2 linked regions of the Arabidopsis thaliana genome follow. The protein of the gene in region 2 interacts with the protein of the main gene of each other region in a pairwise test. Each region holds a gene or a part of one and is shown on either strand. Other genes may lie near its edges.

Region 1 (6,381 bases), on a different chromosome or scaffold from region 2:
GAACTTCAGGAGCTCTATACCAAAGAGTAACAATCTCATGCGTATAAGACTTAAGAGGAACAGTAAAAGCACGACCAAGACCCAAATCAGCAATCTTAAGAAGCTCTTTATCTTTCACCAGAAGAAGATTCTGCGGTTTAAGATCACGGTGAAGCACACCATGACTATGACAATGCGCAACACCTTTACAAAGCTGAAACATCAACTTCTGAATCAAAAAAGGCTCAAGAGGCTTAGGATTAGGTCCTTTCCTATACGAATCGATGAATTTCTTAAGATCAGTATCGAGATACTCGAAAACGAGATAGAGATTGGATTTGGTAGATTGAGATTTGGTTGATGGTTGATGAACATGTTCGACGCAGAGTAATCGAACAACATAGATCGATGTTGATAACATCTGGAGAAGCGAGATCTCACGAAGAGCAGTTGGTGGAATACCTTCTTCGTCCATCTCGAGACGAGTTTTCTTCAGAGCAACAAGCTTACCAGTTCCTTTCTCCATCGCTTTGTAGACTTTCCCGTATGTTCCTTCTCCGACCTTCTCTAGCTTCTCGTACTTCTCCATTTCTGAGAGGTTTCGTAAAATTGAACTGTGTTGGTTTCTGGACTTTTGATTAACCCTATTATTTGATCAGATTAATGAAGATGATGGATTGTGAGAGAGAGAGAGAGAGATGCTTTCGCTAAGATACTTCCACGTCACTTCGTTTTTCCCGCTCCTTTGGATTTTGAATTCGTTCGTGACAACTGCAACAGATTAACCTAAAGTCGTGACCTCTGTGAATGTTTTTGGGGAAAACTAATTGGACTCACTTATTTTGGTCTAATCTGATATCTACTCAGATGATTTGCGTGAGTTGACGAGTTCAAATTCTTCACGAGTTATATCGGGAAGCCACATATCGATATCGAAACACCAATGGTGCGAATTAAAACATATTAATAGAAGATGAAGATTAGAACTTTCTGTTTCATGAAACAGATAACGAATGAAGAAATGTGATTTTGAACTTCAAAATGTACAAAACATTTTTTGAAAGCTACAAATTCCTATTCTCCACCAGCAATTTCTTCTTTTGCATCTTCATCAATTTCATCAACTTCATCTTTCTTGTCACCTACTAGCTCAGACACAATTTCCAGTCCTTTCTTTACTCTCTCTATCTCCTTCTCTTTCTCTTCCAGTTTCTCTTGCAATATTATCACCTGAGATTTATCAAAGTCACATATTTCCAACAAAACCATAATCATTCTTCCGTTTTAAGAAAAATCTTGAGGAATTAAGAGATAAGAGAAAAGGATCAACACCGTTTCATTTGATCTCTCAACATCATTAGTTAATTCCTCCATGTGTTTGTACAGTCCTGCATTCCACAAAAATCCTCAAATCCAAATTGCAAACTCTACAAAAATCTTTGCTATAACTTAATATCAACATATGACTTACCTTCAAATTGACTTCTAAGTTCCGCGTTTTGAGACTTCTGCATTGCAAGCTTTATTGCTAGTTCATGAATCTGCCATTCCACATGAACATAGGCAAGCATCAATTTCTTTACCCTTTTCAGGGAATCATGTTTTACAAAGGTTGAAGAAGACTACTGCTTTACTATATAATTCATATAATTCCAGATTGAAGACTGAGAGTAGAACAAACTATACCTTTCCTTCGGCAGCTTGGTGCCCAATCTCCTCATTTTCCTCTTGCAGGGTTCTGCACTTTGCCATAAGCATCTTTCCATTCTTGCTTTGAGGAGTAAAAGTAACTGCTGCAATGTTGTCCTGGAGTTCCTTGATCTTCTTGTCTTTTTCCTCTACTAGATTCTGCATAATAGAAACATGGAATCAAACTTCATCTACTCTTTACTTAACTGCAACAAATGTACATTAACAAAAAGTTGGGAATGTTCGTCCTCAACTGTATCTACTACGACAGTGTCAGCTATCAGTTATTAAGGAATTATTCTTTCAGGCCATTCATAACGAAAGCGGAATTTTGTTCCGTAGATACAGTTTGGATTATCTAAGGATATATTACGACAAATACATCCTTATGAAAAAGTAGTCTAAGGGTAAATAGAAACGAGTAGGTGCAGACCTTCAGACGTGAAAATTCTTCATGAATTGCTGGATCCAGTAACAACCTCCTCGCCTACAAAGGTAAACAAAGAATAAATAATCTACACTGCTATCTGATCATGACAAGCTGCTAAATGACCATTGCAATTCAAAATTTATAGCCATTTCTTCTATTCAGACTTGTTAATAATTCAGATGCCAGGTAAAGGTTTACAAGAAACATGCGCTTATCATCGTATTCAGACTGAAATCTAAAAGGCAAGGAAAAGGTTTCCCTCTACATGCATCAAGGTCGAGGATGACCGTCATAAAAGGTACACTACGGCATAAAAAGCGGACTATGCCTAGAAAAGTCCAAGTTACTTCAACAGCTAACTTTTTTCACGATTTGTATTGTTGGCACAATTGTATAAATTATTCCAGAATCAAAACATTGGGAGAACTATATACCTGCATTGACGCTGGCTTGAGTTGAGATTTCAAATCGCGAACAGCTGACTAGAAATACAAAATACAAGACTGTGTTTAGCGACATCTATTCTATGTAATGGTCAAGAAAACATGTGATAGCATCAGTCAGGAATCAAAGTGGTAGGCAATGAGTTTCTCGAGAATTACCTTCAATTCTGCCATTTCTTGTTCCCGTTTCGCATATTGTACAATGCATGACGCTTCTTTTCTCTTTGCGATTTCTAACTGAAAAGAGAGAAACAACAACCAAACCTTATTTGAAAATCAAGACCTTCATATTGATATATACACACAAGTTATTACTCAAGTACAAACCTGTTCTTTCAAAGATTTCTCAGAAGATTTTAGGTTTTGAATATAATCAATCAAAAATCTTGGTTCTGGAAAAAAAAAAGTACCAAACAGAATCATATTGAATGCTCAAGAATTAACATCGCATATACAAATGTACAAAACAAAATTGAGAAAGAGAGGTTAACCAGGAGATTTTCCAGCGGGAACAAAGGACTCATTCTGAAACGCTGACTTCCACTTCTGAATCTCTGTTTTTGCTGACTCGAGCTCATTCTAACCAAAACGATATAGTTAGATGCAAAAGCGAAGCAACCATAAACAGCAATGGTATAGAATTCAAACAGATTAGGGATGAACAGTAACAATGCTTACTTGACATGAAGCAAGATCATCTTTACAATTCTTAAGACTGCCAAAGAGAAAAAGCAAAAGAAAGTTAGAATTATACATCAAAGATTTTTCTCATACATGAAGAAAGGATTGGATAATAACCTTCCTCGGAGAGACAAAATCATCCCAGTTCTAACACCAGGCGCTACCGTTGTTGATCCGAAAATATCATCTTCATCGTCTTCAAGATCACCGAAGCTTCTTCTATTACCTGAATGATACAGATGAGAAATTAATGTCCAATCCAACCTTAAACAAAAACCATGAATTAAGAGAAATCCATTAATGTCGGGACCTGAAGCCCTGGTGGCATTAGCAGCGGAATCGTCTCCTCCAAAATCGTCGTCTTGTGATGAAAACTCCATTGTAGCAAGTTTCGTAGAGGTTTCTGCGGCGATTGTCGCTGGTGGAGTGACGAAGTGTGACGAGCAATTGAGAATTTAGGGTTTTAGATTTGGGGGAAGACGAGAACGTGGTCAATCGGTCATGGATCCGTTTTTTTACTAATGGTATAACAGGTGTTCAGGAGACAATCGTAAATAGTAAATTGAAGATTTAACTAGTATTAAAATGGCATATTAATATTATTTAAAATTTTAAAAATATTTATTCAAAATCGTTCGCCATATTATTCTGTTCCAAAATATATCATGTTCTGTAATTTCTTATTCTAATTCGTAATTTGTTTTCTAAAAATAGTAATTTTTAAATTTTAATGGCTATTTATTATGGATAAAAGTTTACAAATTATATTATTTTTTGAAATATTTATATTTTATAATTTATAATTGTTATTAAGTAACATTATAGTACGGAACATTTTTTTTTGTTTTATACAATATTTTCTATTCAAACTGATTTGATATGTTTAATATTGGTGGTGTTAAAAATAATAAATTAAGGATTTAATCTGTATTAAAACAGTGAATTAATGATATATTACTTTTTTATTAATGTTGATTTAAAAACCCGTTTCGTTAAATTCGTCTAGCCAAAAAACCTATTTATTTTATTAATGTTGAACTTATTTATGATATGATTTTAAATCATTGTTTAATTTTAGCTGATGTGAAACGGTGAACCGTGAACCCACACATTTTTCGTCCATTAGATAACATATGTCCATTTTTAAAATTTCGAATCACAATATATGTAGGATAAAAACTTGAGATTTATTTTTAATTTTATATATTGATTTAAAACAGTTAAAAAATTCAAACAAAGATGAAAGAAGATTTATAGTTTTAAATGTTAACCAAATCTTCTAATTATTAATATTGTTTAATCTGGAAATATCCGTTGTAAAAGTTTTTAAAACAGGTCTAGAATCGAGTTTTATTTGAACCGACCCAACTAAGACTCAATGAACAAAATTATTAAAATGGGCGGATACCAAATTGATCTAAATGCATCCCGACAAAAAATTTTGCAAAAATACTATGTAGATTACTTATTTGACTAAAATACAAATAAAATCCCTTTTTTGTTAGCAATTTCATTATTTACTAGGTGAAAAAAAAGAGATTCAACTATATTTCTCTGCTCATTATCTGTCTATGGCTACGTATTTGTGTTTCTCTTCTCATTATCTGACTATGGCTACGTTTATGTGTGATGGTTTCGGGTTTTGTAACAATTGAGTGTCAATGCTTAATGACTTCGTGTGTATTGTATTTGTATCTCTGGACACAATCTATATAACAACTTTAGTCTCTTGTAGCCATAATCATCTAGTTCTTGTGTATGTTGGTTTATGATGTGTTTCTTTTTTAAATCAAGCTTTGTTCTAGTTCTCTGCGCATTGCATATACTGAGATATTTTTAGCTCGTTGATAAAACATATAAACTACAATGTTACTAGAGCCGAAACAAACAACATCAGTCAAATCATATCCCATTTACCAAATTGTCAAATAGACTGTGTAAACTGTAAAGTAACAATAACATACAGCACAAATGAGTCATAGTAGACCTAACGTAGCTGATAGCTAATAGCTATAGCATCTCTCTTACAAACTCAAGTGAATTAGGCACGAAGAAACGACACAACAAGGAGCCAAAGATGACAAAAATGTCAAGCTGTTATATACAGAAATTGCATGGATAAGAAAGACACTAAACAAACCAGCTCTCATGTCAACAACAAACCGGAAGCTCATTTGTTTCTCTTATCAGATATGGAAGTTCATGCTGAGGCAAAACAAACTGGAAACTTGACCTCGACTTTGCATTCAGACGAAGCTCTTTCGAACATTAGGAGATCCAACATGATCTGCAGCTTTTTGTCATCTCCTTTTACCTGACCATGAATTTCCAACAGCTCAAGACTCGGCAATTTCTCCAAGATATGCTTTATTTGCACCATCTCTCCGATATCTCCCTTGAACTGGGTTATCTTTAGAACCTCAATATGGCAGGACGATAAGAAAGAATACACCTCCAAACAATCGCAAACAGTGTTCTCATCCCCATAGTGATTAGTAGTATAATGCAAAGCCTAGAAAAGACAGGAATTTTGAGATTGAAGATTTTGACTCTTTAGTTTGTCCAATATACTTTTGGGGGTCTTAGGTCATACCTGAATGGTGAGAGTCTTTAGATTTGGAGATTTCTCAAGCAGAATTGGTAGAACATTCCAACAGAAATCTACTTCAGTGCTAAGTGATAAATGAAACAGGTTTTCAAACACTGGTACTGCTTCTTCGAAGAAACAAAACACCTGAAACAGAATTAAAAACAACTAAGTCAGTCATTACTTGAGCAAACATTCTAATCACTAGCAAGATTGATATGATCTTAGTATCTCAATGGTTCCTAGATTTAAATTTCCTCATGCTCTACTAGTTGTTAAGCTACAGTAACATATTAAAGAGAAACAATAGCGATCACTTACCTGCATCGTGTCAACAACGCCTAAGCTCAGAATCTGAACATTTTCTAAGCCCTTAATCAGATTCTTAACATCGTAGGTATCGCCAACCATAAAAAGAGGAAGTTCTAGCTTAGCTTCAACAAGGGACTTGAGATCAACAACTGGATACCCATCTCGGAGAACATCAAAGTATTCGAAGTATTCAAGACTCGGAGTATCAAAACTAATTGACTCATAACTAGAGCCATCAAGATCTTCCCAGTCTTCACGCC
Region 2 (6,782 bases):
TCTCTACGGTCTCTTTTTACTCTCCTTCTCGCCGACATTAGCCGAGATCGCTGCTCACGCCGGTTACGATTACGTCGTCGTTGATATGGAACATGGTCCCGGAGGTATACCGGAAGCTTTGGATTGTATTCGAGCTCTTAACGCCGCCGGAACATCAGCCATTCTCCGATTACCGGAAAACTCACCAACCTGGGCTAAAAAAGCTCTAGATCTAGGTCCACAAGGAATCATGTTCCCAATGATCGAATCTCGTAAAGACGCTACCAAAGCGGTGTCGTATTGCCGGTTTCCTCCCGACGGTATCCGTGGATCGGCGCACACGGTGGTGAGAGCTTCTAACTACGGAATCGATGAAGGGTATTTAAGTAATTACGCAGAGGAGATTCTGATTATGTGCCAGGTGGAATCAGGTGAAGGAGTGAAGAAAGCTGATGAAATCGCAGCCGTTGATGGTGTTGACTGTGTGCAAATGGGACCGTTGGATCTTAGTGCGAGTTTAGGGTATTTGTGGGATCCTGGACATAAGAAAGTGAGAGAGATGATGAAGAAGGCTGAGAAATCTGTGCTGACCACTGATCCGGCGAAAGGCGGGGCTTACTTGTCGGGTTTCGCGATGCCGCACGACGGAGCTGGTGAGATTCGGGGACGTGGTTACCATATGGTCGCCGGAGCTGTTGATGTTGGATTGTTTAGGAATGCTGCTGTTGAAGATGTGAGGAGATTCAAGATGGGTTTGGTCAATGAATCGGACAGTGAGGATTCGTCGGAACATGATAAAGATGTTGATGATGAGAAGTACTGGAGCGAATAAGCAAAATTTCAAATTTCGTTAATGTTGTTTCCTTTTAACTTTCCATAAAGATTTACAAAATCATGATGCCACAAATGTTTCAAAAACGAAAGCAACATGAATCCAACAAAGCTGAGACATTTGGCTTTGTTTTTTTTGGAATTGAACTAAGCTGTGATTGAGTCAATAGCCATTGGTTCGTTGTCTGTTTCCATTGCAGAGGCTCTTGGTGGTGATGGTGGCTGGACATCTATTTCAGGGTATGATGCTTTAAACCGAGCTCGAAGACCTTCGTTTATTAATCGGACACCGTTAAGCTGGTTCCCAAGTGATAGCCATCTATAACCAACAGTAGACTCATAAGATTCATGACAACAATATCATATGACAGTTAAAAGGTCAAAAACTTTACCCGGCATGAGCATTGTGCATACGGGCGAATAACTCGAGCTTTCTTGCTCTTGGCATGATCCTCTCTAACATTGCATACATCTGGTGGTTGACAAGCATTCTCATCACACAAGAGTCCAGAATCATACTAATTCGAAACGATTTGGAAAAATGTGGGTAATTATGGACAAACCTCGTCTGGCTTCCGGCTTGTTTCTCTAACCTCTGCGACAATCACATCTGTGTCGATGTTTCTGTTCACTTCTGGATTTCCTTTGATTCCAACCAGACAATGCTCTTTGCTATGGTTGAGCCAGTGACCTGTTCTTCCTGTTCGAATAATACGTTGAAGTTGATTTGTCTTTACCCATATGATCTCTTCCACTCGCTTGTATCCCCAAAGCTCCAAACTTAAAAAAAAAAAAAAAACTCCATTAGAGTGGAAAAGCACATGAACACAAAATTTGTTGAGATTTTTCTAAGTACCATTCACGGCCTAGTTCCATAGCACGACCAGTGACCCAGAGGAAAATCAAACCGTCAGTCTGTAACGAGGGAACATTAAGAGTTCGCATTTCGTCATCAGCCATTGTTCCATATGGAAGTTCCATGTGAATGTCCCATGGTGGATCCGCCATAACAACTCCAAAGGTTCCCAAAATGTCCATTCGAAAAGAACGGATGTCACAGTTAATCCATTGTGCCTCACCAAGTTCAGCTTCAGAACAGTAATCAGCACGTAGAGGCTTCAATGCCTTATCTGGACCAGCCATCATAGCGTCAGCCATGTCGAGCTCGTAATGCACGTATTTGCAAGTCTGTCCAAATTCAAAATAATGGTTGCTCTGTTACCATATATCTACACTTAACCGAAGTACTATCACACAATTGTGACCAAAAAAAAGTTACCTTCATGTGACGACAAGTATCGAGAAAGGAACAATCTCCTAGGCTAACGTCAGTATGTGAAGCGATTAGTCGACGGAAATGTCTCTGAAAGTATACAGAATTCATAAAAACTAAGTAGATTTCAGCAAAGCAACATAGACACCATAGCAGGAGATCAATATAAACCTCACAAAATAACAAACAAAAAACTTGACATGCAAACCAATCCTAATTTGTTCGCTATGGAATTCTTAACAATATAACATTCTGAATTTCCTATCAAATAAGATGTACATTGTAAATTTGAGTTGGTTCAAACCTTGTTGCAGGCTATGTGAGAACCAGACTGAAGACGGCAATCCTCTTTAGTTAAATACCTACAGTAATACTTAACCTGTGATCCTCCTTTGCTTTTAAACTGTAAGGAACATAAAAATATAACAGTCAATCACAAGATCCAAGCTGTTTATTAGAAGATGAAATGAAAACTAACAAAACATAACACCTAGAAGAGTTGAGGCTAGAAACAGTGACAGGTCTCACAAGATACCAAGAGAGAAAGTCACAACAAACACACAAGTTTTGTGGAAAGAGATCTTTGCTTTCGCTACATCGATATTGAAACTAGAAAGTAGAAACTATGTATCAAAAACTTTCAACCCCACCCCACACTGAGAGACAAAACACACAAGTGTTGTGATAACTAGTTAAACACGCTTATAAACATTAAGCATCTAGATCCGTAAGGTGATTATTTTCAATAGAAGGCTCCTTGCTTTCAGAACATATGGCCACATAGGAGCATCACTATCAGCATCCAAACCGAAGAAACACACATCTAAGTTATATAGCTCTTTGCTTTTCACCCTACTGCTTTTCACAAAATGGCATAGTATCTGCTCCCCTATAATCTTGATAACAAACTACTATGGATACTAACTACTAAGATGGCTAATAGCTTTCTCCAGAACTTGTTCACGAATCATACACTATCTAATCCGCTATCTACGCCAAATTAACACAGCTTTGGATCAACAACTTATCTAGTCTGCTGTGAACTACACTATGTGTTTTCCTCCTCAATTCCTTTTGAAAGCTTATATACTCACATTTACATTCACATATAGTTTTGTATTAAAAAAGCATGTATTTAACTAAAGACTATAGTTAACTGAGTTCACCTTAGCAGCAGTAGCGGCTTCTTTAGCGGTTGGACGGTGAATCAGATCAAGCAACTCCTCACCTGTCCTAGACTGTTGCTTCTCCTTAAAAGACTTCTTACTCAAAAGAGCCTCAACATCTTTCAAATCCTCTTCCTCACTTCTAAGCTTCTGATTCGACGGTACAGGCAACGGCAAAGGCAAAGGAAATGGTGGTGGTCTACCCATTATCCCCATTGGATGATGCATTCCCATCATTTGCATTCCTCTTGGTGCATTCATCATTGGCCTAAACCCCATATTAGGATCACCTCCCCACATCTCAGGTCTCGGGAAATTACCCGACCCGGAAACACCAAACCCGCCACCAGAAACAGTAGCATTCTCAATTGAATTAGGCGTTTCGACAACCCGATTCGATTCGTTATTCCCTTGGAAACTCTCTGGTAACTCTTTAAGCAATCTAGTTCTATCTATAGCTAAAACCATGATCCTAGGCTTCCCACTAACCTCAAACTCTTCCAATTCCACAGAACCATTCTCTTCCGCCATCGATTTAAGTGCGGTCTCCACCGCAAGAATCGGTCCACATTCACCGCCTAAATCTCGTAACGCCGCCTTCTCCGCCGGTCTAGCATTCTGGTCATTCTCAAGCTTCCTAAGCACAGTAGAAGAATCCGTAGGAGAAAACGGTACACGTTGAAGCAAACACTCAGCAACCATAGCTCTAACAAGCGCCATAGGACTCCCACTAGACCCATCAGCTTCAGCATCTCTCTGATTCGAATCAACAAGCATCGATTTTGAATCATGCCCATGTAATTGTTGCAGTTGGGTTCCTAATTTAACAATCGGATGATGCTTCTTCTCAACTTTGGGTTCTGGTAATGGTGGTGTAGCTACGAAAGGTCGATTCGTGAAAGAAGAGATGAGTTTGAGTGAGAGATCGAGAGATGGGACTATATCGGGAACAATGGATTGGAGTGAGGAAAGGAGATCTAAGTGAGCGTCGTGTTGGGTTCGAATTCGATTCTCTAATCGAACTCTCATGTCTTTGACGACGGTAATGGTGGCGTCATCAGATTCAGTTTCCATGGCTTCGAAACAAAAGAATTCGAGAGAGAGTTTGTGCAGGTCTTTAGCTTGAAAGAAAGTTAAAAAGGGTTTTAGCAAGTAAGTCACTAAAACGATGTCGTAGCAGTTTTAGGTCACGAAAAATGTAAAGGAGCACGATGATAAGTTTTTTTTTTTTTGTCGGACACGATGATAAGTTGATAACATAAAACGGTAAAAATATTTTTGGGTGTTTAGTTAGATAATTGTAGGATATTTTAAAAATGTAAGAAAAAGTTATATGTAGGGTAATTTAAAAATGTAAGAAAGGGTTATAAGAAATTTACAAATAACAACTAGTTTAGTATATGATTTTAAGATTTCAGTTCTTTGTATTTTATTTTGGATCAACAAAATCCAAATTTTTGCACTTTTCTTTTCTTTATCACGGAAAGTGATTTAGTTTGTTGGAGTTGAATTCTGATAAAAAAAATATAGCAGAGGTGAACCGTTAACCCTAAAAATCGAAGCTCTAAGTATCGCAAAAATCGACAAGGTTGACCTAAAATAATATTTTTTTCTCTCGTCTTCCTGCTTTAACACAAAGTGACCAGCGCGTGGAGGCTCAAATAGCACCAGCGTCAGTCACCTTCTTTGTTTCTCTGCATAGTTTTTCATTTCTTGTCTTTGTATTCTTTGTTTGTGGAAGCATCGAGGCTCTACATTTTGGAATAGTGGGTGTTGTGGGGCAGATTTAATGAGGTTGGGTCTTGGTACTCAGATCTATAGGATCTGTTGGTCAAGGGTGTTCTTGGGTCATCGTTCTTGTTCGGTGGTCACAGAGTGGAGTCACAACGTCGTCTTTGTCGGGTGGTTCTCTTCGCTGAGTCTTGACGGACTTTGGAGGCTTTTGCTTCTCTCTTGACGGCTCGTTTCTTTTCTCCCAAAGCTGCATCTGTGCAACATTGGATCGCCTCCTCGATATCTCGGTATCTCCAATGTCTCTCATGTATTCCTCTTTTGTGTCGACTTGTTGCTCTGATCAGTTCGTCTCTGTGAGATATGGTAACATCAGAGGATTAGGTTTAATTGTCTCCCTCGTTTGGACTTCCGTCTCCCTTGTTTGGGCTAATCTTCTCTTCCCGACTAAGTTAATCTTTGTTAGTTTGGGGTTGAGCACTTTGATTATATTTGAGTTTTCTCTCATCGTGTAGCAGATGATGGTTTGCTTAATTTATTGATCGTTGTGGCGTTAAAACGTCTAAGTGGTTCTCGATTATCTTACGGTTCATCCGGAAGACCCTTGACAAAGGCACTCATTGAAAAAGAAGCATTTATTGAGAAGGCCAAGTTCCACTATCTTGTTATTGCCATAAGTTATGAAGAAGCCCCTCTTCATAATTTGTTGTGCGGGAAGTCTTTATGGTGAGCTTCGAGAGCTTCGTTTAGTCTCGAGACAAGATTTGTTTGGTTTTTACAATGTATTATCGGAAAATTCCTTCCTTATCTTGTCGTAGGTTATGGGTCGAGCATGGTGTCTTCTTGAAGTTTAAACTTTTATTTTCTCATGTGTATTGTAACGTTTCCAATCTAATCTTATTATATAAAGTACAGTTTTGAAAGTTACTAACTCACGAGATCATGACACGTGGTTATTTAAACGATCTTAGATTTTGACATATGTTTGATTTTTTTTTTACTTTTTCCTAAAAGAAAATAGGAAACTAAAAAACAAAGATATTTATATATACTAATTAATATGTTTATATCTAAATATTTAACTTACAATTTTCTTAACTAAAATGTAAAACTAACAATAAGATGGAGTGTATATAATTAAATTATATAAAAAACTAACAACAAGATGGAGTGTATATCATTAAATTATATATTTTATTATGGTAAAATAGGTATTTAAATTGTATTGCAAAATCGAATTTGTAAGATTGAAATTTGGTTTAAAGAAATACTAAATTACATACTGAAAAAGTATGAGAGTTACGTTACTATTTGAAATTCAAATCTTATTATATAAAGTACAGTTTTGAAAGTTACTAACTCACGAGATCATGACACGTGGTTATTTGAACGATCTTAGATTTTGACATGTTTTTGATTTTTTTTTACTTTTTCCTAAAAGAAAATAGGAAACTAAAAAAAAAAGATATTTATATATACTAATTAATATATTTATATCTAAATATTTAACTTACAATTTTCTTATCTAAAATGTAAAACTAACAATAAGATGGAGTGTATATAATTAAATTATATAAAAAAACTAACAATAAGATGGAGTGTATATCATTAAATTATATATTTTATTATGATAAAATAGGTATTTAAATTGTATTGCAAAATCGAATTTGTAAGATTGAAATTTGGTTTAAAAAAATACAAAATTACATACTGAAAAAGTATGAGAGTTACGTTACTATTTAAAATTCAAATATCATTAATAAGATGGAGTGTATAGGGACTGCATAGTCCGAGTTACTCAT

The links. The genes of interacting proteins can lie anywhere in the genome.
Region 1: the proteins of MTA (region 2) and FIP37 interact in binary tests that used the Arabidopsis thaliana proteins (3 or more experiments, as listed by UniProt).

The regions. Positions count from the first base shown.
Region 1 is NC_003074.8:20,054,069-20,060,449, reverse strand, and holds FIP37 (FKBP12 interacting protein 37), read right to left. Parts: upstream 3,787-6,381; 5' UTR 3,603-3,786; coding exon 3,533-3,602; intron 3,449-3,532; coding exon 3,340-3,448; intron 3,257-3,339; coding exon 3,220-3,256; intron 3,121-3,219; coding exon 3,033-3,120; intron 2,934-3,032; coding exon 2,869-2,933; intron 2,779-2,868; coding exon 2,701-2,778; intron 2,581-2,700; coding exon 2,533-2,580; intron 2,156-2,532; coding exon 2,102-2,155; intron 1,828-2,101; coding exon 1,666-1,827; intron 1,521-1,665; coding exon 1,451-1,520; intron 1,368-1,450; coding exon 1,312-1,367; intron 1,210-1,311; coding exon 1,054-1,209; 3' UTR 867-1,053; downstream 1-866. Other genes in the region: CDKB1;1 (cyclin-dependent kinase B1;1), read right to left, coding at 1-568; AT3G54160 (RNI-like superfamily protein), read right to left, coding at 5,423-5,734, 5,816-5,956, 6,131-6,381. UniProt on the Arabidopsis thaliana protein: Probable regulatory subunit of the N6-methyltransferase complex, a multiprotein complex that mediates N6-methyladenosine (m6A) methylation at the 5'-[AG]GAC-3' consensus sites of some mRNAs.
Region 2 is NC_003075.7:6,618,990-6,625,771, forward strand, and holds MTA (mRNAadenosine methylase), read right to left. Parts: upstream 4,393-6,782; 5' UTR 4,324-4,392; coding exon 3,250-4,323; intron 2,487-3,249; coding exon 2,388-2,486; intron 2,174-2,387; coding exon 2,090-2,173; intron 1,999-2,089; coding exon 1,667-1,998; intron 1,591-1,666; coding exon 1,374-1,590; intron 1,283-1,373; coding exon 1,203-1,282; intron 1,130-1,202; coding exon 958-1,129; 3' UTR 828-957; downstream 1-827. Other genes in the region: AT4G10750 (Phosphoenolpyruvate carboxylase family protein), read left to right, coding at 1-811. UniProt on the Arabidopsis thaliana protein: Catalytic subunit of the N6-methyltransferase complex, a multiprotein complex that mediates N6-methyladenosine (m6A) methylation at the 5'-[AG]GAC-3' consensus sites of some mRNAs.